Lytechinus pictus: one gene and its partners. The protein of the gene in region 1 interacts with the protein of each later gene in a pairwise test. Links are inferred from orthologs where the notes say so. Each region holds a gene or a part of one and is shown in the gene's direction. Other genes may lie near its edges.

Region 1 (10,909 bases):
CCTTTGCAAGACAGGAAATACCAGCCAGCAGGTCACAAATACCCAAGAAGGAGGTGGTAAATCACTGGCCTCATCTTCGTCAAGTTGCGGATGAAATGATACCCTATGATAGAAACATTGATGTGTCACTCTTGATCGGAAATGATTGCCCAAGAGCTATCCGGCCTCGACAAGTAATCACTGGAGGGGAGGATGATCCCTATGCTCAAAAATCTCTCCTAGGTTGGGGAATTATTGGAAAAGTCTGCCTGACATCTGAAAGTTCAGGTGCTGTTGTTTGCAACAAAGCTACAAGTTGTGAGAGCGAGAAGTTTGCAGTCCCGTCAACAGCGAAAGAAATCCTCTGCCCGCAGAAAGTCATTGCGATTCTCGAAAAGGACTTTGCTGATGAAAACATGGGAGGGCAGTCTATCTCAATGGAGGACAAGAAGTTCCTGCGAATCATGGAGAAAGGAATAAGGAAACGACCAGACGGACATTATGAGATGCCCCTCCCCCTCAAGACGCCTAACACATCGCTACCATACAATCGCAAAGTAGCAGAGAACCGATGGAAACAACTAAATGCCAGGTTTAGAAGGAACCCAAAGTTTATGGAAGACTACATAGAATTCATGAAAGATGTGCTTGAAACATGTGCTGAAAGGGCTCCCTCTAGCTACAAACAAGGAAAGGTAAACTATGTACCCCATACTGGTGTCTATCATCCCAAAAAGCCAGGGAAAATACGTGTGGTCTTTGATTGCTCAGCAAAGTGTGAAGGAATCTCACTCAATGACAACCTCCTACAAGGACCAGACTTGACTAATGGCTTAGTTGGAGTACTGTGCAGGTTCCGCCAAGAAGAAGTTGCTGTCGTTGGAGACATCAAAGGAATGTTTCACCAATTCTTCGTGTCGGAGGAAGATCGGGACCTTCTCCGTTTCTTGTGGTGGGAAGATGGTGACCCAAACAAAAACGTGATCGAATACAGGATGAAGGTTCACCTATTCGGCGCTACTAGCTAGCTCACCTGGATGTGCTAACTATGGCTTCAAGAAAGCAGTAGATGATGGCGAAGCTGAGTTTGGGTCCAATGCAGCTTCATATATTCGAGATGACTTCTATGTCGACGACGGACTTAAGTCAGTCGCAACCCCAGATGAAGCCGTGAGTGTCATGAAAGCAAGTCAAGCAATCTGCAGTAAAGCTGGACTGAGATTACACAAGATAATGTCTAACAATAAGGAGGTTCTGCAGAGTTTTCCTATCGAAGACAGAGGTAAGGGTATTGCTGACTTGGACCTAGAAGTTGATCCACTACCAATAGAGAGAGCATTAGGTGTATTCTGGTGCGTGGAAAGTGATACATTGCAGTTCCGAATTGAGCTTAAAGATCGCCCTCTTACTAGACGGGGAGTTCTATCCACTGTTGGCTCAATTTATGACCCTATCGGCCTTGCAAGTCCAGTGACTCTGAGAGGAAAACAGATTCTCCAGGACCTCTGCAGAAGGAAACTTGATTGGGACAGCCCCTTACCCGATGACGTCCGACCACAGTGGGAGAAATGGAGATCTGAAATAAGTGAACTCGAGAAACTAAACGTCCCAAGATGCTACAAGCCTCCAAACTTCGGCAAAGTAAAGCGTACGGAGTTACATCACTTTTCAGATGCAAGTTTTGATGGTTACGGACAGTGCTCTTATATTCGCCTGGTGAATGAAGAGGACAAAGTGTGTTGCTCTCTCGTGACAGCCAAATCAAGAGTAACCCCACTCAGACAGATGACTATTCCCAGACTCGAACTGACGGCTGCCACTGTATCAGCAAAGATGAGTACATTTCTAAGGAAAGAATTGACAGTGGCTAAACCTCAAGAATTCTTCTGGACAGATAGTCAAGTAGTCTTGGGTTACATTCGTAACGAAGCAAGGAGATTCCATGTCTTCGTGGCAAATAGGGTGCAACAGATACATGACGAAACAAACCCCAAAAGATGGTTCTATGTGAACACAGAAGACAACCCTGCTGATGAGGCGTCTCGAGGGATGACAGCAAAGGAGCTCGTTGAAAGTAGCCGCTGGCTGGTTGGACCGAAGTTTCTTCATGAGAAAGGAGAATTCAAGATTCCTACAGAGCAGTATAAAGCCAGCTGTGAGAAAGATGACCCAGAAGTTAGACATGTGTCGACCTTGTCTACAATGACTGCTAGAGCCAACCACTTCGAGATTAGTCGCCTCCAGCATATCTCAAGCTGGCAACGTGCCAAGAGAGTGGTAGCACTATGTATGATGTTCAAAAGTAAACTACGAAAGAGAGAAGTGAAGAGGAAGACAAGCCCTAAATTGAACCGTCCACTCCAACGTGTTATCTTGACAGTTGCAGAAGTCGATGCAGCAGAAACTGAAATAATCCGAAACTTGCAGATAGAACATTTTCGTGACGAATTGATGGTACTTCGCAACTTAGGCTCTGGTGAGCAAAATGACAGACAGACAGCAAGAAAGAGAAACAGTGAAATCAAGCCAATCAGTTCTCTATATCGTCTAGATCCATACATTGGCAGTGATGGTATCATGCGAGTTGGTGGAAGAATCGACAAAGCTGCCGTACCTGACGAAATCAAGCATCCCGTCATCATGCCGAGAAATTCTCATATGACGACATTGCTCATAAGACACAAGCATGAGCAGGTTCACCACATGGGAAGAGGAATCACACATAATCAACTGAGACAAAATGGATACTGGGTGATTGGTGGTTCTTCTGCAGTTTCCAGTATCATATCAAAGTGTGTCTTGTGCAGAAAAATGAGAGGACCATTGCAGCAACAGAAGATGGCAGATCTGCCAAAAGATCGCCTAGAACCGGCACCCCCATTCACATACTGTGCTGTGGACTACTTTGGACCTTTCAACATCAAAGAAAAAAGAAGTATTGTGAAAAGATATGGAGTACTTTTCACTTGTATGGCATCAAGAGCCATTCATCTAGAAGCAGCAAATAGTCTCACAAGCAGTAGCTTCATCAACTGCCTCCGGCGGTTCCTCACTCGTCGTGGACCAGTCAGACAGATCAGATCTGATAGAGGGACTGCTTTCGTTGGCGCTAGAAACGAGTTGCGGGAAGCAATGAGAGAGTTGGACCAGGAATCTATCCAGACGTATCTACTAGAGAATGGAGTTGATTGGATACCCTTCCAGATGAACACGCCGAGTGCATCTCACATGGGAGGAGTTTGGGAGCGCCAGATTGGTACAGTACGCAGAGTCCTTGAACCCCTCCTCATGAATTCAGGGTCACAACTAGATGATGAATCCTTCCAGACGTTCCTTACTGAAGTGGAGTCAGTTGTCAATTCCAGACCACTGTCTACAGCTAATCTATGTGCAGGAGATGCCCCTGAACCGTTGACTCCGAACCATCTTCTAACCATGAAGGCAAAAGTTGTGATGCCTCCCCCAGGCAAGTTTCAGCGAGAAGACGTGTATGCTCGGAAGTGGTGGCGTCGTGTGCAGTATCTAGCGAACGAATTCTGGAGTAGATGGAAGCGTGAATATCTCCAAGACATCCAAACAAGACAGAAGTGGGTCCATCCAAAGCGTGACCTCGCGATAGGCGACATTGTCATTGTAAAAGACTGCAGCGATACTCGAAGTCAGTGGCCACTAGGAAGAGTGACAGAAGCCTACAAATGTGATGACGGCCGAGTTCGTAAAGTGAAACTGATCATGGCTGATCGCGATCTTCGAAAAGACGGTAAACGTAAGCATGAGCCTAGATTTTGGAAAGACCCATACATAAGCTCGTTTTGATCCTAGCAGATGACTAGATTTGTTCTTAATGTGATACTGACACTATAACAGAAAGAGACTGCTTTTTACATGGGCTAGTATAATCTACGCGAAAGACATTTAGGGATTCCCCCGCAAGGAGCCAAACACAAGAACAATTATACTGTTATATTATTATCGTTTATTTTTATATCAATAGGCAATTAGCAGATTGATATGCAAAGTTATTGATAGCTTGGAAAATTGTTTCTGTGCTTTTTGAATATGTGATATTTCATTTTGGTTTGTTCAACCAAATAAGCGAAACATTGCTTATATTGCAACGTGCATTATTTGGCATGATACATATACAAATTTAATATATTATATTCTTGATGTTTCAAGAATCAAATTGGATCAAGGAAATGCATTTGAAAAGAAAAAAAGGCTTGCTATATTTTGAGATATCGTTCAAAATATTGTATTATGCATTCTTTTATTTATCATTTTATGATTTTATCGTATAGTTTTGACCTGAATGTGCTTTCGAACGTTTGAAACTTCGAACTATTAGAATTATTCACTTATCAAACTGTGATGAGAGCATGCAAGCATAATACTAAAGCATGAATACTTTATTGTTTATTGATATTTTTAAAAGTGGTTTATAGTATTGTTATTTTTATGCAAGCGCTATAGATATTTCTAATTGAAGTTTATAAGTATATATATATATATAAGTAACTGTTTTGGATAATCAGTTAAAGGAGCCATGTTGCTGCGACGCAATGCGCGCATTAATTGTTACGTAATCAGTGTCATTTTAATCTTGATTGCTGCGTCATGGTTGCCATGTATATTTGCGCATAATAATAATAATAATCATAATAGTTGCGCGCGTGTTATTAATATTTGTCATGGTTTCAGTATTAACGTCAAAAGGAAAATTAAAGGCTGTGTCAAGTATACAGAAAGAAACAGAAAGCCATATTTGGTAAGTTCGATTACTTTTATTGGATTATTAATTGCACTCTGTTATTACCAAATATTTATTATGAGAATAATGATGAATCGATGTTGTTTTAATGTGAATGATGATGATTAACTAAATTATGTAAATATGAATCTAATGTGTAAACGAGAAGATAATATGTCTGTGTATTTATGATTCTTGTATATCTGTTCTATAATTTTCAGAATGTTATCTGCAACGCTTAATCTACAAAATAATTCTTCTGATCAAAATCGACAATCATCTATTATTAAAGAGTTTTTGTAAATCGTATATGAAACTCGTCCTGTCATTCGTCGTATATTATTGGAAACTCCTCTTGTATAGAGGCAGCCACAAGTTATATGCACAATCTAGAGACATGCAAATGAGAGAGTCGATGTCCCGCACTCACTTTTTCTTTTGTTTCTTATTATTTGAATTGTACAATATTTAAATTTTTACAGATTTTGCAATAATAACTAACTCGACTGAACCATAAAGTGCATGGTAATTGTACATGTTCAGGGAGGAATAAAATATTGTTTCACGTACAGGACAATGAATTAAAAAAAATTGAATTTTCATATTTCAGATAATAAAATTTAAAAGAAATAGTGAGTGATGTCATCACTCCCCTAATTTGCATACAGACCAGGATGGGCAGATAAATGATTTGTGAAATTAAACGAAATTAATTTTAAAATGTCAGTTTCTTATTTTATACATCCGATTCTGATGAAATTTTCAGTATTTTGCTTGTTGGATTCTCCTATTATTAAAATCAACTTTCTGTTGGGGTGGACTTGTCCTTCAAGGCCTAGGCTTTATAGCCTAAGGGGGGGGGGGGTTCTTCTTTTTATTTGGCAACCAGTCAATTTAATTGACTATTTTCGCCATCATAAATATTATAATATTATTCACGTTTGTTTTCTTTAAGGAAAAAAAAATATATAAAGTAAAATTCAAATATTCATTTTTTCCTTCTTCTTTTCTTTCCTCTTCCTCTTTTTTTTTTTTTTTTGGGGGGGGGGTTAGGGTACAAGGATTTAAAGTCGAGTAGGTGTGTCTAAAAAAATTAAAACCAGGGCTTTTACTGAAAATATGTTAGATATATAGGCCTACTATAGTATGCAAGTAAACAGTACACAAGGCATTATATAGGCTGTACATTCAGACCCTTAACTCGTGTGAAGGGTTTGCACAGTAAGGGGGATAGGCCTACATTTTTTTTTATTCGGCCCATTTCAGCTAGGAGGCAGATGACGGAGTGGTCTATACGTACTGCATGTAACTATGACTTCTTTCGTAAAAATTGAATGGTAAAAAGGGATTAAAAAGTTGTCAGATTTTTTATATTGACTATGTAGGGCCTATTTGCAGGGGCGGAAATCTCTCCCAAAAGGTAGGGGGACAATAGGCTGAAAAATTTGACAAGCAAAAAAAAAAAAAAAAAAGAAAGGTTATCACCCCCAATTTAAGGTCATTTCGACGAAAATAAATTTGACCAAAAAAAAAAAAAAAAAAAAAAAGTAAGGTGATCTTGTATAATACACGGTTTATTTCGATTTTGAATGATGTATTTCCTACCATCATAAAACACAAATAGTAGGGGGGACATTTGATATTGTGTTCCCTCTACTATTTTGAGTAGGGGAGACACGTCCCCCCTGTCCCTCCTGGGATTTCCGCCCATGTGTATTTGTGGTTTAACCATCGACTGTGTCACTTGCACTTACATGTATAATAAAATAATGTATTCATAATTGTTATTGTTTTAGTATATAGCTGACACTGCGATCTGTTTTGATTGGTCTTACAGTAAATGTCAGGCCGGGATATGTAAAATATATTTTGAAGTGTAAAGCGGGGAGTGGAAACATTAAATCGGACTATTTTGAGTAATATTTCTTTGGGCAAAAATCTGAAATGTCTTTGGCAAAGACTAGGAGCGTCTAGTCAAATAATTGCCCCCACCCCCTCGATCCTAGATCTGGCCTGGCGCCAAATTTGAACAACGACGCGACGCGCGCTGCTCATTTTCCAGCCGCCTTCTAATTCTTCCAACATCCGATCCAGATCCAGTCCCGTACTCCGACCGTAGTCGTAGAAAATTAGTCGGAATATTTTTTGTCATTCTTTCATCTTTACCTCATCTGGGCCTGTATATCCAATAATCATGATGTCGTGTGTAGATGCAATCGATGGAATGAGACATGGGCACAGAAATAAAGGACAAATTCAGGTGAGTTCAAAGCGAACGAGATTCGAGAGGCTGCAGGGAAGTGCAGCAGCCGGCCCGACAGCTCCGTTTGCATCATCAGACTCAGAGCTCGAGCTCAGGCAGTCAGCGCCTAGACAGCTGGCAGCCGTCTGTTTTGGACTTTTGAGGAGTTTTTTTTTATTTTTATTTTTTTTTTAATTTCTCCTCGTACACAGACGGCTCTCGCTATCGTGCAGCCACCATTAGGGGACTTATTACAATGCAAAATCCCCCCATCGGGGCTCTTCAATTTTTGTCTTGACTTGTCTTAAGTTAAATCAATGTCTCTACTCTATATATAGGCCTAACAGTTAAATTACTGAGTAAGACATGAATCAAATTCAAACTTTTGAAAATTAACGCGACCGAAATGGCATTAATTGCCAAAAAACAGGGAAAATCAAGTTAAAAGGAACAAAAACAGTGACTGACCTCGGCTGTCGCGCAACTTAACCTCCCCGTTTTATCCAAACTTAGTACACATAGGCTAAACATATGGCCATTGTCATTGAGTCCCCTGTACTAGATCGCGCTAGAACTTCGGTCTCTGTATTTGGTGAGTGAAGCCAACGGAGTTCAGCTGAACAACCAACATAACACAGAGACCTAAGCTTTTGGTCTATACTATTACTAGTACATAAACATGGCCATTGAGTCCGCTGTATGATGGGGGGACCCACCCAAGGGTTCATTACATGCCGCCGCGCACAGAAAAATCAAGCCATTGAAGTCGTGTGTTGTGGACCCAAGAAGTGAGATCCCAGCACGCGCGACCCACTAGTTAGAAATCCACTGCCAAACGCGGGTCGTGGTGCGAGGTTAGTATACTAATACTAACCTCGCAATACGTGTGAGTGGGGGGGACCTAAACTGGGCTAAAGCTACGCACTTTGTTTTCAAACAATAAAAACTATCCCAATTTTAATATTTCAACAAATATCTTTCACTAATTTGTGGCAAACATTCTAAAGATCATTAACCAGGAAGAAAATATCGCAAAACTCACTAATACGAAAATCCCGCCGTGTTCTCCGAAAACCTCTTGATTTTGCCACCCGATGTAGAAGGGGTCCTAAAACCACGCACTCGATTTATCATGCAAAAAAATAGTATTTCCTGTGCCTCAATTTCTAAAATATATTCATATTATTATAGGATAAAATGAAATTTAAGCGAATATAACTCCAAAATTCCAAACAGTTGTTGGTTTCTCTGCATTTAGAGATTTACTGCAGCCTCTGTAGAAAAAATTGAATAGGAATCGTTCGTCACTCTGCAGTCACAGTTCCACACACAGAGTGCACATTTGCCATAAAAACTGTATGCGCGATGAGTGGTGCGTAGCTTTAGGACCCCCTACCATACCATTTTTTTACCGGTATACAAACTTTGCTCATTTTCCTTACCTGAAGACTACGAGAACACACTTCTTGAAACGTTGAGTTTGGGTTGTCAGGACAAACAATTGCCCGTGAAAGATGGTGTACCACGAAACCTATTAGTCCTGCACTATGCTAGGAAAAAATGATACAATATATAATGTAAAAATTTCAAATAAGTTTTAGCCCAAGGCATATTTATTAATTGTAGAAATATAACATAATAGAAACTGGCTTTGGCAGAAAATCAAGCATTCTAATCCTCTAGAAAAAGTAAGTAACAACGAGAAAATGTCCAAACATGTTTTTGCCAACCCTATTTCAATACACAGATCTAGGACTTGATCTGCTCACATAGATCTACTACTCTGTATGAGGAATGAGGACAAGATCATACAATCATGATAACTTCTATTATTGTGATCTAATGAGGACTTTTCTTCAAATGTCATATTAAAATCTGCACAAATAGAAATTTTAAAACTTTCATTTTCATATAAAAATACATACTGCAGGGCTCCACACTAACCCTTTTATTCTACTGGTCCAAACTGTTCATGTCGGACCAGTCGATACCCAGTTTTTTTTTTTCTGGTCCAAACCTAAAATTTACTGGTCCCCAAAATGAAGAAAATAAAGAAAAACATTTAAAAATGAGTTTATTTGGCTGTATTTTATTGCTTATTGTTACCCCCTACCCCCCCAAAAAAAAATGAATAAAAAATAATAACTAGGGGTCTAGGGCAAGGTACACACTCAAACACACAACATAATTCATGAGAGACATATTTTTGAGACTCCAGAGCCATTATCATAATTTACAAAAAAGAAAATATCATTTGTCTCAGTTTGATATATTATTTTCCTGGTCATATCGGACTAGTATGGCTATTTCTGAAAAGTTAGTGGCCCGTCAGCAATTTTAGCTGGTCTGGGATCGTCGGCCTGGTGCCAGTGTCATGCTCTGCATACCGGTAGTATATTTTAGATTTTGTGACATAATTTAAGTTTCATGTTGCATTATTATTCATAGACCCTTTCAGCCTTGGTCCCAAACTTTTTTACACTGTTTTGTGAAAAAAATAAGCAAAATTTGAAAATGTGCTGTAGTATTTGATATCCAATTTTGATGAAAATATGAAATTATAAAGTGGTATGCTTGTTTAGTTTTCCACTTCATGGTTAAAGCAAATTCTGTTGGAGTAGACTTTCCTTACAGTTCACTCTCCAATACATGTACATGTATTACTATATCTTTTGTTTTTCTTTTAACCTATCAGGTCATCTTTGGGCCCATGTTCTCTGGTAAAACGTAAGTACTGACTTGTATTTTAAAATTAAGATTATCATATCAATTGTCCATGTCATCTTGAAATATGCCTTTCATGTTTTACAATGAAAATAAGGTAGGCTAATGTGTGTGTGGTGGCTGTGGCCCTTTTGAAAGAATTTTGTTTTGTTTAGTTTGTGTTTTTTTTAATGTTCTTAATGAATTAGGAGTTGTGTGGTCTAGTGGTTAGAGCTTTGGATTTATGATTGAAAGGTGGTTTGAATGCCAGCTTGGCCTTTATTTTAACCAATAAGGCCAGAGAGTAATTTCTATTGTCTATAAGGTCAGCCACTACATGTATGACTGGGTTAACTTACTTGTCTTTGTAATTGCTTACATACCAGCTTGGTGTTGATGCAGCAGTCAGCTGCTTTTTCGAGTTTCTATGACAGTTCAACAGAAATTAATTATGTATTTCTTAACGTAAAATCCCTTGAGGACCCCCCCCCCCTTCACATGCACAAGGGGGGGGGGGATAAGTCATGTATGTTGAAGGGAATCTAACTTTGGCCATGAAATGGAGTGTGATGAGAAGAGAAAAAGAGAGAAAATAAAAACCAGAATGGTGAAAGTTAGAAGGAAACAGTGACTGCATGTAACCAATAAGAGAGCTATGGCTGTTTAAGAAATGAGACCACTAGGACAATGCAAATTTCAAATTGGCAGCTATAACTAAATTATGTCAAACAAGACCATTTTTCCATAGGCTACTATGTACTACTGCCTTTACAAACATTAACATAGATGTTCTCTTCTCATGACATGAAAAGAAATTTGAAATTGAAGTAAAAATAAAAAATTACATTTTAGCCATTTTGCGAATTGGAGCAAATTGAAGTATAGTCCCTACATTACATTGTTGACATCATCAATGCAACTAAATTTAAGTCTTCATCGCTAAAGTGATTTCAACTTACAACTTTAAAAAAGTCATAACTTATTTTATTACCGATATTGTTCAAACTTTCACCTCCACATATCTACTTATCTGATTTTCTTTTTTCTCTGAAGACAACTTTTTATTTTGATTGGATTACCCTTTATAACTACTATATTTGAATTTTTAATTCAGAGAATCTATTTCCCCTACTATATTTCAGAACTGAACTGATCAGGAGGATAAAGCGTTATCAGATTGCAAATCACTACTGTCTTCTCATCAAATACGACAAAGACACAAGATATGACAAGGA
Region 2 (10,983 bases), on another chromosome or scaffold:
AATGAAGTACAGTATGTTTTGTATGATTTTCTTTTAAATCTGAGAGTGGCCCCTTACTTATGACCTTTACTGTACATGGAGTAATTAGCAACTTACACAGGAGCAGCAGAACATACTTTCATTTGTAGGGGCAAAGCAAAGAAAAGGCACTAGTATGTCAAAAAGGGTATTGGGTTCAAACCGATATTTTCAACATGAAATTACATTTCTGCCTGAAGTACAATGTATCTGCATGTGTTTGGTGGTAATAACTTAAGTTGAGCAAAACTGTTTTGAAAGGGATTTTTTGTTATTAGAATCAGGCTGATTAGAATAAAAATTAACATGCATATGTTGGCTATATCTCATTATGCAAGTGAGCGTAGCAAGTGAGTGGTTTGGAAAAACATTTGGTAAACTTGCATTGTATGTAGTCTATTCTGGCGCTAATTGCAACTCTAAAAAAAAACATTCTTTGAAACTTTTTGGCAGAGAAATGGGGGGGGGGGGAGCATGCTAATTTATTCATGAGATTATGTTTTTGGCTGCTACTCCCAACACTCATAAATTTGCAGGTTGCACTGTACATGTATCTCATGACTCCAGCAATGCTGAATGATATGTGGATATGATGTGTGTGCATGTGTCATGTGATCACGAGAGTGGCTGAATTGCTGCAAGTATAAAGTGGGGAGATCCAGGCTTATGAGTGAGAGAGCAAAAGATATGAAATGTGGTTGTGTGTATTGTGTATTACAAGCTGTGGAACTGTAAGCTTTTTTGTTCAAAGGCTGCAGTATTTGAAAAGAGATATACCCCTTCCATCCCTGATGTAACCCATTTGCTATCAAAAAATATATATTTGAAGAGGGGGCTAACATACCGGCTAACATACCCATGTGTCTCCTTTGGCTTCACACCCGATGATTGCACATGACTTGTAATTGTATTGATGCACACACACACGCCATGTGTAGATTACATGTTCTACCGGCCGTGACCACTGCACTTATGGGCAGCCAAAAGGGCCAAAATTAAGAATCTCAAAAATAAAGAAACTCTCCGAAATAAATGTAGTATCTCAGAAATATAACATTCAGAAATTGATACATTACTTTGGACGACTAGTACATAAAGTCAGAAATAAAAGTATTTAACCAGAAATTGATATAATTAGAAATAAAAGACAACTCCAAAATAAATCTTGTCAATCATAGATAAAGGATTTAGAAAAAAAATAACGTAATTGAAATAGCAGTATATTTTACAAATGAATGTCATCGTTCAGATAAAGATGACCTCGCAAATAAAACAATTTCAAAAATAAGAAAACTCTAGAAGCAAAGATAACTAAAGAAATAAAGCAACCACAGAAATAAAGACAACTGCAGAATCATAATTTTACACGGAATTAAAACAATTCTTGGAAATAAATACAATCACAGTTTCCAGGGATATAATTATGTTATCATAAAAATAATTCATTTCTACATGTAAGAGAGTCTGCATTGATTTCTGTAAGACTGGGATACTACATTTATTTCTGAGAGATTCTTAATTTTTGCACTAGCGAGTGACACACAGCTTGATCCGCTCGACCCATTCATTTCAATTCACCTCATCACTGCACAAGTTCAATGCCACATTTGTTATTCATTAGAGGTACAAATTGTTAAAATATCAAACAATTTCAAAAGGGTCATTATTAATACCAGATCATCCTCGCTCAAACTCAAGAAAAATTATGACTCATTAATTAGTCTGACATCGCCTCGCGTTTTAGCTTTGAGGGCAATATGCGACACATTTGTGAAGTCGGAAAATTACCATCGCCCGAAGAAAAAACCTTCCATAGTTAATACATCGGCGTCAAGAAAACGTCGCCTGAGAAATAAAAGATGAATACAGGCCGAACAAAAATTGTATGCAAACAAAAATCACTTTAAAAAACACAATTTTGCTTAGATCTATCCATTTCGTATTTCCAGCATCAAAACAATTTTTCGAACTCGAAATCACGTTGGCAAAGAAAGAAATTTGATGTTTCATCGAATGGCGATGATATGAGAGAGAAAATAAAACCCGGAAGTCAAATCTCGCGAAACTCGATATTTTCAAGATGGCAACTTTTTCGGGGATGTACGAGTGACAAGATCGTCTCTGTAAAATGGATTATTATGGACCTCAAAGTACACGATGTAATTTTTAAATGTAATAATTTTGTATAGCACAATATTATTTTCCCGTGCATGTCTTTTTTATTTTATAAAAAGTTTGAGTGATTGTAGAAATTATGTTATTGATCTCGCCAATTTAACACGGTGACAGATACGAGAATGTCTTAAAGTCGAACCGGCTGTGATACTAAGCTGGGATGATTTGGCTGAAGTTAGAGGCCGGTAATATATAAAAATATTTTACGCCCCTAAAACCCAGGATTACCGTTCAGACTAGAATTACAATACACGTTACTCGTTAGAGTTCAGCGGAACAAACAACATAATAACAACAGAGACCGAAGCTTAAGTTAAGGCAAGCCTAAGTTAAGTTTTGGTCTGATATTTAATGATATTGATAACCCTACTTAATTATTGACATGTGCTTAGGAAAGATTATTAGGGTGTCTGAAGCCACACTGAAAAGTGTCAGCATAAGAGAGGCTGATTTAGGGGAAAATATGGCACATTTTTTTCGGGAAGTTCAGGCTACTAGAATAATGTGATCTGAATTGATTATTAACTTGTGTTTGGCATGTATGGAAAGAGAAAATTAAGGGGCTTCTTTTGACAGTAAGGACAAGTTTATATGATCATTTTAAATAAGGATTTAGAGATAAATTGCAAACCCTTATTTTTGTGTGTGTTGAGATTGCCATTTCCCCATGCGTTTTCTATGGGAAATGAAATTTCTGTTTTGCACAATTTTTTACACTTTGTCGCAATTTTTCATTGTGATCTGGTTTCCAAATCTTTATAAAAATCATACCATCAGAAAGAGCATAAAAAATCCTATTGGACTCTTTATGGACAAGTTTTTGGCATTAATAATAAATTTATAACACACACTGGTGTAAATCTTTGTTGATGGGTGGGGGGGATGACTGAAATATTTTGGCATTTTTTTGCAATCATGTTTTTAGATATGCAAGGAATTGTCATTGATATGTCCACAGTGGCGTACCGTGGGTCACGGCAATGGGGGGCACCAGCAAAATTTTTTAATCACTGAGTGAGTGCACTAGTGAGCGCGCGAAGCGCGCTCAGTTGCCAGTTATACTGACCTAATAGAGACATTTTAAGGACAATGTCATTAAACGGATATGTATCTCACCGATCAAATAATGCGAGCGCGAAGCGCGAGCGGAAATTTTTTTTATATTCACACCTAAAAAGGGACATTATAATCAAATTTGTGTAATTATGATAGGTACCTGTCTCGCTAAACAATGCGAGCGCGAAGCGCGAGCTGAAAATTTAGATAATTCAGACCTGAAGTGGGGCATTCTAAGGTTTCTTTGTAGGAAATAACTAGGACCATACGTATTTCATTAACCAAATGATGCGAGCGCGAAGCGCGAGCTGAAAATTTTTGATATTCAGATCAGAAGAAGGAACATTTTAAGGACTGATTTGGGGAATTCATGAAGAGCAGACATATCTCACCAATCCACTAATGCGAACGTAATCACGGACAGGAAATGTTTCATATATACGAAGACCTTAACATGGGGCAATCACTTTTTGAGACATGAAAAAGAAGCATATATGTCACTACATAAAACAATGATAACTCAAGTGCTAGGAAATATATTTGGTTTGTATTGACTTGAAAACGGGATGTTTTAGTACAACAGGATTATGTATCTCGTTAAACAGACAGTGCGAGCACCAGGAACAATGAAGACGTAGGCCCTGGGCAAATCATAAAGTTATGATAAAAATGTTTCTTATGTAATGTAACATAACATAATTATAATATAATATAATATTATAATGAATAATTTTTTCTTCTTTCACTATGTTTCTCTTCCTTTCTCCCTCTTTTCTCCTTTTCCCCCTTTTTTTTTTGGTCAGCCGATGAGGGGGGGATGTGCCCCCCATAGTTACGCCACTGTATGTCCATATGGCAAATACCCCTCCAATATTATTATCTTTTTTACCCCATGATGGTTTAATGGTTTTATCACTCATTCAATGAACAAGGTTATGATATAACCTTGTTCTCAGTTATATCTCCATGTGTGGCAAAATAAGGATGGCAATGTTTGGCAAATTTTCTCTTTTTCTTTGGGACAAATGCTTGATTTTTTTTACACTGACAGTTTTCATTACACCTATTCGTCATACAACTTGGCCCTTAAGTAAATTTGATTCTTTAAATTATTTTTTTCTTAATTAAAAACAGAGATACAAAAATGAAAATTTTCTTGCCATTTTATTTTCCACCAATAGAGGGCGTACACAAAAATATGCCCCAAATTCAAGTTTTTGAGCGCTCTAGTGAATACAAAAATTATTCCCAAGTTACTAATGAAAAATAAATTGCAACTGTATGGAAATTAGTAATTTTGGTCACAAAAGTGATATTTTAATCATTTTTTTAAGTGTGTGCTCTGTACAGCATTGGCATGCCATAGTCCAACCTGCAGATTCCCCACAGGCAGGGTGGTTGCAGTAAACAAATGGGTTTTATTAGAGATTACATTCATATTTTTTTGACATTCCATCTTAATCCCTTCCAAAGACCCTAACATTGATGAATTGGAAGAAACGGGGGTTTCTCTTCAATGTTATAATAAGGACACAAGTATTTCATTTGGAAATGGTGAACTGGCTCTTTATTTGCATTTTATGATTCAATAATATTGTTTTATTTGTTAAGCGGTATTTCAGGAAGAATTTTCACCAATAAAACAATTATCTCTTGTGATTTTTTTTCATTTCTTTCGTAAAAAGTGGGGGGGATGTTTGTACAGGCCATCCCCCCCTCCTCGAAAAGTGGGGGGGGGGGGATATATCCCCCCCCCCCCCTGGGATTTACGCCAGTGAATTAACACAGCTCTCGGACTCGGAAGCTAAAAATTTAGATTTGTGTGTGTCCATTTCTTAACTACACAGTCTATGGCAGAGAAATGCTGAAAATTGACCTAATTTCATTCTTCTTTTTTGCAGCCAATAATCAGATTTTTTTTCAAAAATGTTAAAATTGTTACATTTCTGTCAGTCTGAAGGTCATTTCTCTTCAAATTCACAAAGAAAATGTGATATTTTCTTGAAATAAGAAAAATAATATTTTTCTCCAGACACCCTTAAACTTGAAGCTAGCCTATCTCAAAATTTTGTTAATTTTGACTGAGTGGAATTTCAGCTCAGTTCACAGGACACAGACGTCACTTCCCAATTCACAAAACTAAGTTAGTACAGTATATTAGTGAGTGATTGTATTATTACCGACCGGTCTTGTATTACCGAACGCGCGCATCATACGCATCAGAAAATAATTTCAACGCTCAAAATTTTGTAACATCCTTCCAAAGAGAACTTGAAATAATAGAAAGATGATGAAAAATGGTAAAAAACGCATTTTTCATGTCTTAATATTCTAAAAATAACAAAATATGGTCAAAATAGCTCATCACTGACATCAGTGCTTTTTGTTGTTTTTTCAACTTTTCCCATAGAAAACACACGTTCGGTAATACGATACCTTTTTAAGTAACCAAAATATTTCACATGCGAAGAGGGGTCCGATTGGAAGCTAATATCGTAAAAAAGGAAAAACGATTTCGGCAAATTTTTTACATAGGCCTATTTATATTTTGTAGGTAATTGTGTATTCATGGTGAAAGTTTGGTGAATTTTATGAGAATAATGTGTTTGATATGATTGAATTCATGAAAAGTGTTCGGTAATACGATCCACTACTAATAGTAATAGTAGTGGCACTACCATAGCATAGTCCATACTAAGTAAAGTGCACGCTTACCTGCGCCTGCCGGCTGCCGCACACACATAAGTTCGCAATATCGTAATACTAGTACTACAAAGACACCAAGTCTGTCTACATCAACTATCACACACGGTCTCTGAATCTAGTAGTAGTACTAGTACCGGTAGTCGGATCGCCGTTCTATTCTTAGAATATTCCGAGAGACATGAGACTGGAAGAAAACCGGAGAACTGACCTAAATGCCGGAGCATATTCTTGGTCACCACAGAAAGAAAGTCTGGATTTTAGGTTTAGCAATCTCGCATGTTGTGTGAGTGGCCGGCCGGTGAGTGGGCTGGGGCCATAGTCATAGAGATGGCTGGGGCGCTAAGTTAGAGCAGGGAAGGAAGTAGTGATATCAGATATCTCCTTGGTTAGGCTGTGTCATGGATAATAGTACAGTGAATATTTAGTGTCCACGCGCATGCGCAGTCTTATTCCGCAGATTCATATTATATACCGGCGCGGACGCGACGGTGGGAAAATAATTTTGCAGCTGCAGGCGAGGCGGGCAGAGGATTCCGGTATACCTCCCTTCGATCGTTCTTTCAACAAAAGAGATTGTAGGTAACTGACTCTTTTCATTAGGCCATCCTAGTCTACTGGTACTTTCTGAGAACAAAATGTCTTATGTTAAGTAGGCCTAATTTCAATTCAAAGTAACTTCTTGGCCGTTTCTCCTCACTTAGTCCCGCACTTGAAATTTTGTGTTAGCAAAAACTAGCTTTGTCATGTTTGTCGGCACTGTTTTGTCCACTCTAGGCGACACCCCAATACTTACCCGTGCTAATAAACTGGGACTCCACTCACGCGCGTTTGGGCCTCCCTAGCTTAGAACTAAGCACTAATATCACCTTAAAAACTAAATCTACAAGGTATGTATAATCTATTTATAACTTTAATAATGTTTAAACTTTAATCGGTACTCACCGGTTCTTTTGTTGCATTTTCAGACCATTTCTCACAATTCTTCGTAAATATTTGCGGCAAATTTTGTCGCCATAGACAGCTTAGCGTCCATCTTTATTGATAAATGGAGCGCCCTTTACGATAGTTGTTAATGCCGCGGATAAATCGTTAGGCATTTTGGCCTGTGTTCAAGGCGTTCTTTCTGTTTTATTTTTTATATTGAAGATTGTGCATTTGTTGAATAGCGCCGTCTACGTCAGGTATGAGATCGAGTGTATAAATACACTCTTCCAAAATAATTATGATTCCGACCTGGCGCTGTTTAACTTCAATCTCTTTCACCTAAATTAGCGATGAATGCTAGCATTATAAAATATATATTATTAACGTCTGACGAAAAGAATAACCAACCGATCAGCTGACGAGAACGCGAATCACGTGATCTTCATATCAGCTTCGATCGCGAGTCAGAAGAGAAGAGCAGCTGCCCAGAAAATCAGGAAAAAGCCGTGAAAATGTAAGTTCCCCTTCATTTCTTTCATTTTTTGTTGTTGCTAACGATGCATTTACACTATAAAATTATAATTTAAATAAGAGAAAGGAATAGAGCTTGTACTTATGATATAATTGCCTAAATATCCTGTTCTCAGAGATTTCTAACCAAAAATACTACTGATGTCGCCTATGAGGTCCATACATGTAATGTTGGACCTCATTGGTACTAGGAGTGGTTTTGTCTTGACTTTGACCGGTCATCATTTTTAGCCTAATTGAGCCTCGTGATGATATTTTTAAATATTTTGACATATACTTCTTCATCACGATCCCTTGACACTCTTCCGATAGACGCTTGGAAGAGCTGCTTAGGCCCAAGTTAGGGATTATTCCTTCAAGGTTACAAATACAAATACAACTACAAGACGCATAACTTAACTTAACTTAAGCGAGACCTACACACCCAGATGCCCATCTTCTTGTTAGGTGGTCACATGGGCAACAAAGTATTTTTGTATTTTCTTAGTAGAAAATTCAATTCACACAGAAGTGTTAACTTGTACTTCCGAACAGTAGTTCTAGAGGCGCACGGCCAATATGGGAGACTCTCTCCAATAGGGGAGACAATCTCCCACATTGGAGACTTGCTTTGCAGAAGGACAAAAGAAACAACACCAACAAAAGCATGATTTTTTCCACCCAAAATTTTGTCTCACTGAGGTCAGAAGCCCATTTGTTTTGTGTGTGATTGACAACAAAAATCCTTATAAAATCAAAACAAAAGTAGAGTGAATTTTTAAAGTAGGCGGTGAAAAGGGGTAATTTTTCATGAGGAATCTCCTTATTACATTTTTATTTGCCGCCAAGGTAATCCTTTTGCAGCCAATGTAAACAAAGGATATTGGTCTCCAAAACTGGAGACTGTCTCTGAAATTGGATACCCAAATTCTTTACAAAAGTCTCTGATATTGGAGATAATCTCCTGCATTGGAGACAGTCTCCAATATTGGCCGTGCACCTCTACTGCCAAAGAGAGGATGAAGTTGATTGTGGCTCATCATCACTGGTTATTTTAGTATTGACTCTCCTGCTCACATTCAAAGTGGTGTATTTGTTTGATTGTTTTAAATTGTTTCCTATTCTCACCAGTTAATTTTTTAATTGTGAGCCAGCGCCATCAATGATCTCATGAATGCACAAGTTGCAATTTTATCATGTTCTATATCTCCCTGCAAACACCTAAGACAATCAATTATCTTTTGTTCAAACACGAATGATGCAGACTGAGATCTGAGTATGTTGCCAGAGCTAGCTGCATCTAATCCTGATAATCTGTGTCATACCGGTAATTCTCAGAAAAATCTACCAGAACAAGAGCTGAACTTTCCTCATTCACCAACTTCAATTTTAGCTTGAATGATATGCAGATTTCATGAATTAATGAGTTAATAGTATTTGTATCTGACATCCAGCTACCCTCAATCAATTGAGACTGACCATCATTCTGTTACACTGAGCCCAATATTTCATTTTTGTGAATGCTGCCTCGTGTTATATATAAGGTGTCATGTAATACGCAAAGTGTCATGTCCGTTACACAATTTTTATGAAAATGAGAATTGGTAAGGGAAAATGATTGCTACATGGTAGGGCGTTTGATTCTAACATAGAATCTGACTTTGCAGTAACTTCAGACAAATTTCCTGTTAGCTATGAAAACTTTAAGTGAAAAACGTAACGGAAATGACACTGGTAATGTAAAAGAAATAACACAAATCTGAAGATCGATTTCTCTAAAATTAATGAATGGCACAAATTTAACAATTATTTTCTCTTGATGTAAACATTAATCAACTATTTAAAAGTTCAACGAGACCTCTGGGACCTTAGTTGCTTTTTGTAGAGACAGGAAGAATGAAATGTTTAAAAATAGCCACATTTTTTCATTTTTTTGCAATTCACTATTCTTTTTAAGTGATGGAAAAAATGCAAAATTTTATCAATTTTGCGATTTGTCTATTGAAAAATCAAACATTATAGATTACTTTTTAAGAAAATTTGACTCCTTAAGTGAAATCTTAAACTTTATTTTTTCACTGAAGTGAACATTTTCCATGGAATTGCCCAGTACTGTCCTGAACCAGTCACTGGCGGATCTAGGGGGGGGGGGCAAACTCCCAAATCCAGCTTGTGCCCCCCCCCCCCTTTGAGAGGCGCAATTAAAATTTGTAATGTAAAAATGCCGGTAAAACAGAAGTGTGCCCCCCCCCCCTTTTGAAAGTGAAGACTTTTTTTTCTTCTCAATTTTTTTCGTGGACAAAATGTCCTTAATTTTGGGTAAAAAAACTTTTTCTTGCTTTCTTTGCTTGTCAAATGTGCCTCCCCCCCCCCCCCCCCCCCCATTTTGGCAAATCATGGATCCACCCCTGGAACCAGTAATGTGTATCAAGTCAACTTTTATCTAAATGTACTTTTGTAAGTTATTAATTAGCCATCATAACTTAGAAAGTAAATGATCCTAGTTCATGAAACGTAGATATAAGGGCAATCAAGTATTATGCCTACTTATCATCCTGCCTGAGTTTCAGGTGACTTGACCAAGGTCAAAGATCATTTAGGGTAAGATTAATTTAGAGTCAACGAACTTAAGACCATGTTGAGGGAATCAATATCGAAATCTTAACCAAGGTTAAGTTTTTGAAATGTCATAAGTATATGGACCTAGTTGATCACATTGAACTACAACTAGCAATTGCCTCGTTCATTATTTTAGGGGGGATGTTCATTCAGCATTTTAGTAATGTACACCTCTGACCTAGTAGTAATTACACAAACTAAATGCAAGGCAACTGTTGCTAGGTGAGTATGGGTCCTGAGCTTAAGTGAATTGAAAATATTTTTTTCTCTTACATTTCTCTGGACTGGAGGATTAGATATCACCATGGCCAATGCTTTCACAAAGGTGCTCAGATTTTGGATCTTCTTGGTTGGTTTCATGGCAGTAGGAAGTGCAATGCAGGCCTTCATGGAAAGTTCTTTTCTTGCAACACGGATGTACACACAGGCTCAAGAGATGGGTAAGTTAGAGTGATAAATCTAGGGACATGATAACCTATGATTAAGTCGGTGTGTCTGGTTCAATGTTAATTACATTTTTCTAGTGCTATTCAGCCTCCAGACTTATCCACTATCAATGGATATTTCATTCCTATGCCATGCTTCATGCATAGTCCAGGATAGGCCCCAGGGTCATTCCATCTGGATTCACCCAGTGGTTGCACCCGACCCTCTCAGTTTTTGTTGTAAATTGGTACACAAAAAATTCCCCATGGCCCAGGCACAAAACAAAAAAATTAGTCCAATCGGTTCTCGTTCTACGGCCCGCCCTTTTATCCTTGTTTTGACAAAAATGGGCGTGACCTTCAACTTTCAATGGCCATTGCGTCGTAACGTGTTGACCAATTTTCACAAAACTGGTACCATTCAAAAGGAAATTCAGAGAGGAATCCAAAACATGCATCAAATAATGTATTGGAGTGATTTATAAGGTCATGACCTTTGACCTTTACTTTAACCTTGAGTTTGACCCCCGGACAAATAATTTTTCAACTT
Region 3 (11,264 bases), on another chromosome or scaffold:
GTCCTTGGAGGTCTACATTGGGAAGTGCTCTTGGTGTATCTAGATGATGTGATTGTTTTTGCAAAGACAATCGAGGAAGAATTGACTCGACTTGACATGGTCTTCCAGAGATTACGGCAGGCAGGTCTGAAACTGAAACCGAAGAAATGCCATTTGTTTCGGGAGAGTGTCTTGTACTTGGGGCATGTAGTGTCTGGTGAAGGCATTTCAACAGATCCAGAGAAGATTAGAGTGGTGAGGGAGTGGCCAGTCCCTAGAAGTGTCAAGGACGTACAGAGTTTCCTTGGACTTGCCTCTTACTATCGCAGATTTATAGCTGGATTCGCTAATATTGCCCGTCCATTACATAACCTAACCAAGAAAGGTCAGACATTCTCCTGGACGGCAGAGTGCGAAGCTGCCTTCCAAGAACTCAAGCAGCGATTGCAGGAGTCACCCATTTTGGCGTACCCTGACCCAAAAGAGGAGTACATATTGGATACAGATGCTAGCAATGAGGGGATTGGAGCTGTCCTGTCTCAAGTGGTGGACGGGAAGGAACGTGTCATATCCTATGCTAGCAGGGCGCTGCATAAGGCAGAAAAGAACTATTGCGTGACTCGGAAAGAGTTACTGGCTGTGGTAGTATTTCTGAAGCAGTTCCGACAGTACTTATACGGGCAGAGGTTTACGGTCAGAACGGATCATGGGGCACTTCGTTGGCTCTTGAACTTCCGAGATCCGCAAGGTCAGATGGCTCGTTGGCTGCAAGTGATAGCAGAGTACGACCTCAAAATCGTACATCGTGCAGGGAAATCACATGCCAACGCTGATAGCCTTTCAAGACGACCTTGTCCTCAGTGCAAGCGGGACTTTGAGGACCGAGAAGATTCAGAGGCAGAGATAACGGGAGATAACTTTGCAGAGGCCAAGGCAGTAACAGTGACACCGGGCATTAGCAATGAACAGATGAGGGAATACCAACAGCAAGATCCTTCGCTGAGGTGGATCATGGAAGCAAAGCAGGAGTCTTTAGACCGTCCTGATTGGTCAACGGTGGCTTCCAAGTCTAGTGTGGAAAAGTCCTATTGGAGGATGTGGGCACAGCTAGACATGAAGCAGGAAATACTCCACAGGAAGTGGGAGTGTGACCAAGGTCGGAATGTGACCTGGCATGTGGTGCTTCCAACTGTACTTCGGACAGATATTGTGAAGGAATTGCATGGTGGCAAATCAAGTGGGCACCTTGGCCAGAACAAGACAAGAGAAAAGGTCAGGATGAGGTTCTATTGGGTGGGAATGGATGCAGACATCCGGTCGATGGTACGGCAATGTAATGTCTGTGCCTCCAAGAAGTCTCCAGTGAAGAGACGGAGAGCCCCCTTGCAACAGGATTCTGTTGGGATGCCAATGGAAAGGGTTGCGCTCGATATTGTTGGTCCCCTCCCAGAGACGGAAAGAGGAAACAAGTACATCCTGGTGGTGGGTGACTACTTTACCAAGTGGATGGAAGCCTACCCAATACCGGATCAGACAGCTGAGACAGTTGCCAACAAATTTGTCAATGAGTTCGTCTGCCGGTTTGGTGTCCCTACAGTCCTACATTCAGACCAGGGCCGAAATTTCGAGTCATGTGTCTTCCGGGAAATGTGCCATATCCTTGGCATTCGCAAAACCCGCACTACCCCCTACAATCCGAAATCCGATGGCCTCATTGAGAAGTTCAATGGCACTTTGTTGAACATGATTTCAATGATGATCGAACCACATAAGCGGCAACGAGATTGGGATCAGAAGCTGGCAGTGGCAGTATTTGCCTACCGCAGTGCCCCCCAGGACTCCACAAAAGAGACGCCAAACATGCTCATGTTAGGGCGGGAGATCCATCTTCCTATTGATCTCACAACGGAGGTATTGAGGAGTGGGGAGGAAGAGGAGACTGATGTGGAGACGGATTACGCATTTGTTTTGAGGAAACGAATGCAAGAAGCGCACCAAAGAGCCCGAGACAACTTTGCAGAGAGTGCCCGCCGGCAAAAGAAGACCTATGATGCGAAAGCGGAGGGAAGCCCTTTGGTGGTTGGGAAGTTTGCCTGGCTCCATAACAAAGCGAAGACTAAAGGCTTGTCCCCAAAGCTACAGAGAAAGTGGGAAGGTCCATATTTAATCATTCAACAATTGTCGGATGTTACTTGCCGGATTCAGGAGAAGAAGAATGGCAAGAAGAAGGTAGTACATGTGGACAGGTTGAAGCCCTACGAGGGAGTGCCGCTTCAGTCCTGGTTAGAGGCTCATGAAAATGAGCAGAGAGTTCTCGATCAGAGTGAGGGACTCCAGGTGGGAGAGGAGGGACTCCAGGTAGGAGAGGAGGGAATAGACCCAATTGTGAGGGAAGGTTCAGGAGTTGAGGAGCCTCCCGTACCAGCTCCGCGAAAGGCTCCTGTTCCGGCAATAAGAAAGAATCCCCCAAGAGCTAGAAATCCGCCAGCTAGATATGTGATTTAATGTGTAGCATGTAACCTGTGACAGATGTGATATATTCTGACATTTTGAGACAGAATTCAATCAATTTTGTTTTGTTTGTGTTCTTTTGATTACAGTGGTTCAAGATGAGGCACCGGGTGGCGTCTGACTTTGAATGCTTCGACTGTGGAGCGAGGTTCTCACATAAAAGGAGTCTGCACCGACACATCGACGAGAGACATCGACGTCAAAGGCTGTATACTTGTGACATTTGTGAGAAGGGGTATTCCCGCAGAGATAACCTTAGGGCCCACATGGTGAGTCATGAGAGACGTTCAAAAGTGAGGTCGGAAGTCCACTTGAGCGACAAAGGAGGGAAAGAACGTGAACGTGAACGTGAAAAAGGTCGGGAAACTCGAGAACATGAGGAGAAGACAACAACTCGGATCTGCAGTGAGGTACAAGAGCCAACCATTGCTGAAGCAGAGATTCAAGTCGACGTCTCTCCTGGCACTATGGAAGCGGTAAATTCTTGGAAAATGGGCCCAGGACTCAGTGGGAAACCACTTAGCCTCCTGCGTCAACAGGTGCAAGATGAGCAGTCTGAGGAGTCTGAGGAGTCTGAGTCCGATCTTGAAGATGAACAGGAGGGGGGCATGGACTTGCCTGAGAAAGTGAAGTTGGGAAAGCCTATCGGTGACTTGAAACCGACCAGGATTTTAGCAGGGAACTTAGTCCGAGTAGCCGAACATAGTTCAGCATACGTGTTTTCCGGAGGATCGAAATCTATTTACGAGGAAAAGGCACGGACCTACCACATGGTGGTGGTAAAAGCTGTCGAGTCGGTCCCTGAAGCTTCATACACCAAGATTAATCATGTACGTGAGGGGCATGTGGGTCCGGCTATGTCCGTAGAGGATTTGGAGCGTGGACTTATCGGAAACCTAAAAACTATCACCGAAAAAACCACGCGCCGAGTGTTCCGAAATGGAGAATTAGTATCGGAGGACGAAGTCATAAAGGAGTTTACGGTGGATATGATGGTGGGAACAACCAAGGCCGAAACAGATTGATCAGCTAAAGATCTCATCATCCAGAACACTTTTAAGAACTTTTGTTATATATAAAAAACAGTATCTCTTCCGTGAGAAACATTCCGTCTTGTTGTTTTGTATTCCGATTTATTGCCTTGATGTATGTTATAACCTATGTCTTCCTTGCCTTTCTTCTTATCTTTCCTATATCCTCCTCATCTTGACATTTTTCTGCTCTCTCTACAACTCTCTCCGCTTTTTCTATATATTTCTGTACATATATCATTTTGTTCTTGTTTTGTGAGAACAGTGCTTGATTAAAGTTATATTTTGATGTCATCGATCATGCAGTTGAAAAAAAAAAGATCAGTATCTACTTTTTATACAAAACATTTAATACCTCATGTTTGGACATGAAACTCAAAATGTTATTTGGTTTTCTTTAGGAAGTCTTAGAGATGTCTTCAAACTCATAAGTGTGTTAAGAAGAGTGCTTTCTTTTTATGCTATACCTGTATATACCTGTATATTCTTAACGATATTTTTTTTGTACTTATTGTTTCTGCCAAAGATGTTTCACTCTTGAAGGGTGAGTTGAGTTTTGAAAGGATTTATTTTTAGTCTTTTTAGTTTTATACCTGGTCCGAGGACAGCCCAGACTTGGGGAGGGGCTGTGTAGCATAATGAGTTATACGTTTAAGATGTATTTCATAGTTGATCGTAGAGGGCGATATTTTTATGTTGTGATACTTGGTATGGAAAAGTACGTCAGTTCGCTCGGAGCTGTGATGACGTGCAGTTGTAAATAGTAGCTCCCGATATTAAACTAAGACTTACACCGTACACTAGATCTTTCCACTGTGCTTTCTTTATAAGGTGAGTGTTATAGTGCTTGATTCGATGTATTTCAGAGAGGTCTGAGAGGAAGAGAGTGTACCACGTTATACAATAGACTTTTGTGAGAGAATCTGCCCCCCAAAACAATTGAATGAGTGAAGAACAGCGTGGACCGGGTTCTAGAGACTGCGAGACGGCAGAACGCTACCCCAACAGAGCTCGGTTACGCCACAGTAATATCATGATAGGCTAATTTTTTTGATCTTTTTGAAGCTTATTTGATATTTTAAAAATTAAATTAGTAAATATATATTTACTACCTGCTGCCATTTCATGTTTAAAATGTAATAATGACTCAATTTTGTAGGCCTATATGATAATGAATTAATTCCTTTACCCTTTCCTAGACAAGATTTTAAACTTGTAGGATGTGCAAATAATCATAACTAAATCTAAGTTAAATCTAGATCACTACGCACAAATTTTGCCTAACTCTAATCCCCTAACAACAGCTTTCTGTGCCTTCTGTGCGGTAATTCTACCCATGTTGTTAGGAGCTGATTTGTTAATGGATAATACTATACAGATTGTGATGTCAAGCATTGATCCCAGATGTAAATAATGCATTATAGCCATCGCGGCGAGATTACCGGTTGTAACAGGGTGGGGTGGCATCACCCATGGGTGTGGGGGAGGGCTATATTTAGATCTATCAATTATTTTACAGTGTGATAATAGCTGGGATGAGTTGGGTGAAGCTTATAAAGCAACCACTTTGGTGTTTGCAAATTATTTAGTCCCCTAAAACCCAGGATTACAGAGAGGAGAAGGGGGACGGGGAGGAGTAGGAGAAAAGAAAATCATCGAGTTCAGGTGGATGAGTGGTTTTGAAGAAGGGGAGGATCGAAGTAGAAATTCTGCTTAATCTTTACATTTTTGCCCAGTGGCACTAAGTTCTCATCACTTGCTGTCTATCTGCAATCACCCAGTCTGGTTATACAACACCCCTCCCCCCAAAAAAAGAGATAAATTGTTACTAACAAATACTTGATTCCGTTTGATTTATGATCTGTTTTTCATTGTAAGAATTGTTGAGCTTATATTTTGTGAGGGTTTATTTCCAATGCGTCTAATGCCATTTCGTCCAATTGCCAACTCGTCTACTATCACTTGGTCTACCATCAGTACGTCCATTCACCACCTGGTCTACTTTCATTTAGTCTAATGCCATTCCGTCTAATTACCAGTTGGTCCAATAATCATTTAGTCCATATACCATTTGGTCTAATTAAACTAAAGAACAAATTGTGCAAAATGAATGAAAAGAAAATGGGTATTAGACCAACTGGTTATTAGACGAAATGGTAATAGACGAACTGGTGATTAGACGAAGTGATAATTGGACCAAATGGTTGTTAGACGAAATGTTGATGGATGGAATGGCATTAGACTAAATGAAGGTAGACCATGTGTTGAGTGGACGAGTTGGCAGAGGACGAATTGGCAATTTATCTTTTGTGAGGCCCTCTAATATTGGTGGAATGTAAAAAATGTAGCCCACAAACTTTCTTTTTTAAATAGAAAAAATAGGTGAAACTTTAATTTAGTTTTGCCCCCAGAAGGCAATCTGTCACATTTTTGGTTATTCTTAACCCCCCCCCCCCTCCTCCCTCCGACCACATCTGCATTGGATGAGTGAGTCAAATATGATCATGTCTATATATTGTCTATCTCTAGGCTTTACTGGTGTGACTAGAAAGCTAAACTGAGAGGCTCACGATGGCAGAGATTGCTGAGGCATTCATGTTGAAGGTGACGGCTGGATTAGATGAGCAACTTGTCGAGCTTGACAAGAAAATTACAAGGTTTAATACTGGTAAATGCCTTCCTTTATCACGTACTCCATCTATGTATTCCAGGGGCCCGTTGCAGAAAGAGTTGCAATCAAACGCAACTCTAAAAATCATGCGCAACTTGATTTTCATCCAATCAACAGTGCGTATTTTGGACTTGCGATTGATATTTTTACTTGCGTTTAAACGCAACTCTTTCTGCAACGGACCCCTGAACCCCTACTAGGGTATTTCAAAGTAATAAATGTTGACCAATAAAGCAATAAAAAGTTTAAAAACTCAAAAAGCTCTCTACGGTAATGGAGTAGTGGATGTCCCCCCTCACAGCCCCCACTTGGTCGCGCCGCCCACTGAACCCCTTGCAGTTTTACTCATTTACTTTCCCTCCTTTACTTTAAACCTCGCTCACAGGACTAGATATTGATACCATTTACATTTTGTCTTGAAATATACATGTATACCAATTTGCATAACTTGATTAGAGCAATATTTATTTATTAGAGCAATATAATTTGTAAAATATTGACTACTTTTTTATTTAGGCAATAGCAAAAACCATTACTCTTCAATGATTTTGAGATATAGGCCTACTATCTCTTGACCTTCTTTCTCAGGGTAAAATAGTACACATATATTCTCAAGATCTATTTGGCGCAATAGTTTTACTATTGCCCCAATGAGCAGTCAATAGGTCTATCTGTATATTCTGTATAAATTCCAGAAAAGCTCAAATAATGTTAATGACATTTTTTTTATATGACTCTCTTGAAATATATCTTTTTGTACACAGATGTCACACCCCAGAATGAGAAGCTCCTGAATGATATCGGGACCATTCACCACCGATGTGAAGAGCTCCATGACGAACTACAGGGTCTACTCAATAAGCAAGGGTGAGTGGTCATTGTATTAAGACCCTGTCACATCGTTCTCTGCAAGCCCAACTCACCCATAACAAAGCATGTTCACAAATTTTGTGTGTCCAAATCAGACTTGCGGGCAACTGCATGGGGCTACTTTTCACAACTTACTGTCTAAATCTGCAACATTGGATATTAAACCTATTTCGGGCCAACTGGGCTATTTCGGACCAACATATACTGGGGGGGGGGGGGGGGGTCAATTTGACCCCCCCCTCAGATCTTGTTGATTGCGCGATCGCCGTGAAAATTTGCACGCACATAGAGCCGGATGTAAACTCCAAGACTGTATACAAGAAATTGCCAAAAAATAATTAATTTCCTATGTATTTTATTGTTTTTTTAATTCTTATGCATTTCTTTGTTTTTTTCAACATTTGTTTTTATTGTTTTTTTTTGATGAATTTTGTTGGGGACCCTTTTGGGATTCTGAATAACATAAAGTAAATCCATCTAAAACAACAAAAGTAAAAATATTTATACATTTATAAATTTTGGTTGAAAAACGCAATTTGTATTGACTTTGTATACGGAATCATGTTTTTGAGCAATTTTGGGACTGACATGCGCCCACAAAATATTACGTAATTTCAAGCCCCAAGCCCCGTGATTTTTTCCCCTTATTGGAAATTATATGAAACAAGATAATTAAAGTGTTGTTCGGTCAACCATGGCCCCGTCTTACATAGAGTTACAATTGATCCAATCAATCGTAATTCTATGGAAATCCATCAGTGTCATAATTTTGTCTACAGGAAATTTGCACGATGTCCTTCGTAAACAAAGAGAAGCACAGTGAATTTTCATGAAAACAATGAATGCTTGAATATGCATCATAGTGAGAAAATATTTTGAACAAACATGCATGATAGATGTTGACATTGCTGGCCATTCATAGTTGTGATTGATCGGATCAATCGCAATTCTTTGTAAGACAGGGCCCATATCAAGCTTATGCTCATGCTTCATGTACCCCTTTATATCGGCTTGTTTCTACAGAGAACAGGAGAAAGCTGCGAAGGAGAGACAAGATGAATATGACAAGAACCACCTCTTCAAGTCGCCCATCTCACCAAACAACCCTAAGACGATCCATGAACTCTATGAAGAGATGGACCTCCTCGACATCGATTCTGATGAAGACGATGACCACGACAGTGGCAACGAGATGGGCGATGGCGACAATGATGATGTGCATTCTGAAGATGAGATCATCTTCATTGGAAAAACTGACCTACCTCCGACGAGCCAGAAACGATCAGCTAACGAGGCACGGTTGACGCCACCCAACCCTTCAAATCGACCAGTCGGTAATGAAAATGCTGTTCAACTTTCCTCCTGGAATGAACACATTAATTATAGATCTGAAATTTATTTTAACTCCCATTATTCTCATGCAGGTGTATTGTATACTTACTTGGTATGTTGCTCTCTGATAATTGAAGGTTGCAATCATTCTTTTGAAGCTTTTAATAAATGGCTTTCTGCATTTCTCATAGGACCCATGGAAAAGGAGACTGTAGGAAAGACAGCAACACCGCCACGTACTTCACCACAGAAAGCCCCACCCGTCTCCAAACTCACCACAGTACCACCTCAATCGTCATCATCATCAATACCAAGTACTCGGGAGTCCCCGAAGGCAGCTAGTGTGTCCCCTGCCACCTTAGCATCGACAGCATCCTCCACGACAGCACCTGTCATGACCCAGACGGTAACGGTTGAAAGTGCAGGAAGCACTCCTGGGAGAACCACTGTTGCCAAGGTTCAACAAGACGGGAACACAAGCACTATAGTCATACCGGCCTCCATGCTTCCTCGGCCGAAGAACTTGCCAAACGCGCAACAGCCCAACGCGCCGTTGCGTTTCCTCATGCTGACCACCGCCAAGAATGCAGCGGGTCAGGAGGTAAAGAGCGTAAAGACTTTGCTCTTGCAGAATCCTCAAGGAGTACCCCTCAATGGCCAAGTCGTCTTGAAGATCCAGGATGGACAGCAGAATCAGCTGGTGCAGCCATCATCGCAAGTCCTTCAGGTTTTACCACATGGGAAGGCTCAAGGTACCCCTTCTGCTCCTGCAGGAAAACGTCCTCCAGGATCTGCAGAACCTTCCAAGACTTCTTCCGAGGTTGTGGAGATCGTTGACGATGACGATGACATCGTGATGGTGAGTAGCACTCCAGCAACCTCTGCTGCCAAGAAGAATACTCCCGTCAAAGCTATGGCGAGAGCACCGTCGGCCATTCCTGGACAAGATGGAAGTCCTGGAAAGGTTCGTCAAGGAGTTCAACTGATCCATGGGGCTGACTATGATGCTCATCTGATGGAAGGAGAAGAAATGATGTTTGGAGATGATGAAGCAACGTAAGTATTGATTGAAACTTATGGTGCCCATTTAATAAAGAGTTACAACCATGTTAACTTTGCCATCATGGCACAACCGTGGAAACCTTGATTGTGGTAAGCTGCTGCTGTTGAGCCCTGTTATCATAGCTGCCATAATGGCAAAGTTACAACAGTTCTAAGTCCTTTATGAAACCGGCCCCTCCGCATACTGCAATGCCATGTTTTCATATCAATATCCTTGCAGGGCCCCAGGTATAACAACAGTGATGGGGTTACTTTGTTGAAATTGAATTGAATAAATAAATAATGCATAAATATATGTTTACAGTGAAACCTATAGAAAGACCACGTATGGGGGGGGGGGGAGCTGTGTAGTTGAGCAGATGGTCTTTATGCACAGGTTCGTTTTATACATGTTTCAGTGGGGAAAAATACTCAAAAGAAAAACATAGATTGTGGTCTATTTAGACGGGTGGTCACTCTTTACAGGTGGTCATTATAGCAGGTTTGACTTTGTACAGTACACAGTACTGCTCAACCTGTCTATAATGACCACCCAAGAGAGACACAAGATACACTGTATGACCTCGATAGACAGGTGACTGCTACATGACATGTATATTCCGGGTAATATAATGTAACCTGTCTCTTTGTGAATCGGTTTTAGTGGTCACTGTAGGCAAGTGGCTGCTATATAGAAATGGGAATGTCCACAAGGCCAAGTGTTATTGGTATGATCATCTACCCTGCTGTAGTTTTCATTTTGAAATTTAACCTATATGCCTTGATATTTTGCCTATTTGTATTTCCTGTTTAATGTCATTACGTATTTTGTTTTATATTCTGGGATGCATACTTCATACATGGATGGGTTTTTCTAAACCTTGTTTGGCAACCCTAGACGTGTAAATATATTTGTCTGAATAAATTCAAATCAAAATCAAATCAAATAAAAAACCAAGTATATGCAACATGTTTTCTGCTAAACGTAATCGTCAGTATAAGTATTTTTATTTCTATTTCCTTTATACTTCATATTTCCTTTCTCTTAACCGCTTAGAGGCAATTTGCGGTATATAAAAGTATTATTATATGTGGAGCGTTGTGGCCCAGTGGATTAGTCTTCTGACTTTGTTACAGAGGGTCGCGGGTTCGAATCCCAGCCATGGCGTAATTTCCTTCAGCAAGAAATTTATCCACACTGTGCTGCACTCAACCCAGGTGAGGTGAATGGGTACCAGGTAGAAAGAAATTCCTTGAATGCTTTGAGCACCTAGGCAGCCTAGCTAAAGCGGGGGTAATAATAATAGCAGGGCCCGCCGGGAGAACAGTTTTCAGAACTGAAGTGGCTTCCCTGGGTATATATACCTATGTTATTATTACCGGTATTAATATAATATTATGCAGGTTGCCAGGGCTTGTTGAAGGGAAGAAGGTATTGGCCAAAGGGGAAGAGAGTTTCTGGTATCAAGGCATTCTCATTGGACCTCCTATACATCATAAAGGAATGGTAAGATTCTCTATTTATTATGCTTTTTCTTGTACTCATAGGCCCGTATTCTGATATCCCTATTTTGTTTAACCCTATCTAGGCGGGGGGGGGGGGGGGGCCTCCGAGGCCCCCCCTCAACGAGTCGCGCGATATTTTTGACCGCGCTGCTCACTGACTTTTTACTTTCAACTCTTGCGCAACTTTTGAGACCAATTTTGCGTCACCCGGGTACGCGGTTCCGAAATTACGCAACGTTATGTAAGTGCATTTCAGACCAAAAATTGCTCAAAAACACATGATTTCGTGTACAAAGTCAACGTAAATTGTGTTTTCAACCAAA

The links.
Region 2: the proteins of thymidine kinase, cytosolic-like (region 1) and ergosterol biosynthetic protein 28 homolog interact in a two-hybrid assay, tested with the Homo sapiens proteins (2 studies listed by BioGRID and IntAct). The link is inferred for Lytechinus pictus from reciprocal best matches to the Homo sapiens genes TK1 and ERG28.
Region 3: the proteins of thymidine kinase, cytosolic-like (region 1) and histone-lysine N-methyltransferase SETDB1-A-like interact in a two-hybrid assay, tested with the Homo sapiens proteins (2 studies listed by BioGRID and IntAct). The link is inferred for Lytechinus pictus from reciprocal best matches to the Homo sapiens genes TK1 and SETDB1.

The regions. Positions count from the first base shown.
Region 1 is NC_087254.1:30,594,745-30,605,653, forward strand, and holds the start of thymidine kinase, cytosolic-like, read left to right. Parts: upstream 1-6,782; 5' UTR 6,783-6,923; coding exon 6,924-6,989; intron 6,990-9,666; coding exon 9,667-9,698; intron 9,699-10,816; coding exon 10,817-10,909. Other genes in the region: uncharacterized protein LOC135155728, read left to right, coding at 1-1,007; uncharacterized protein LOC135155821, read left to right, coding at 1,213-3,795. UniProt on the Homo sapiens protein: Cell-cycle-regulated enzyme of importance in nucleotide metabolism. Catalyzes the first enzymatic step in the salvage pathway converting thymidine into thymidine monophosphate.
Region 2 is NC_087251.1:6,119,945-6,130,927, reverse strand, and holds the start of ergosterol biosynthetic protein 28 homolog, read left to right. Parts: upstream 1-5,928; 5' UTR 5,929-6,231; coding exon 6,232-6,253; exon of another isoform or gene 6,254-6,395; intron 6,396-6,397; exon of another isoform or gene 6,398-6,842; intron 6,843-10,298; exon of another isoform or gene 10,299-10,304; coding exon 10,305-10,448; intron 10,449-10,983.
Region 3 is NC_087253.1:10,916,489-10,927,752, reverse strand, and holds the start of histone-lysine N-methyltransferase SETDB1-A-like, read left to right. Parts: upstream 1-6,047; 5' UTR 6,048-6,092; coding exon 6,093-6,189; intron 6,190-6,956; coding exon 6,957-7,059; intron 7,060-8,085; coding exon 8,086-8,396; intron 8,397-8,585; coding exon 8,586-9,450; intron 9,451-10,839; coding exon 10,840-10,942; intron 10,943-11,264. Other genes in the region: histone-lysine N-methyltransferase PRDM16-like, read left to right, coding at 2,589-3,515. UniProt on the Homo sapiens protein: Histone methyltransferase that specifically trimethylates 'Lys-9' of histone H3. H3 'Lys-9' trimethylation represents a specific tag for epigenetic transcriptional repression by recruiting HP1 (CBX1, CBX3 and/or CBX5) proteins to methylated histones.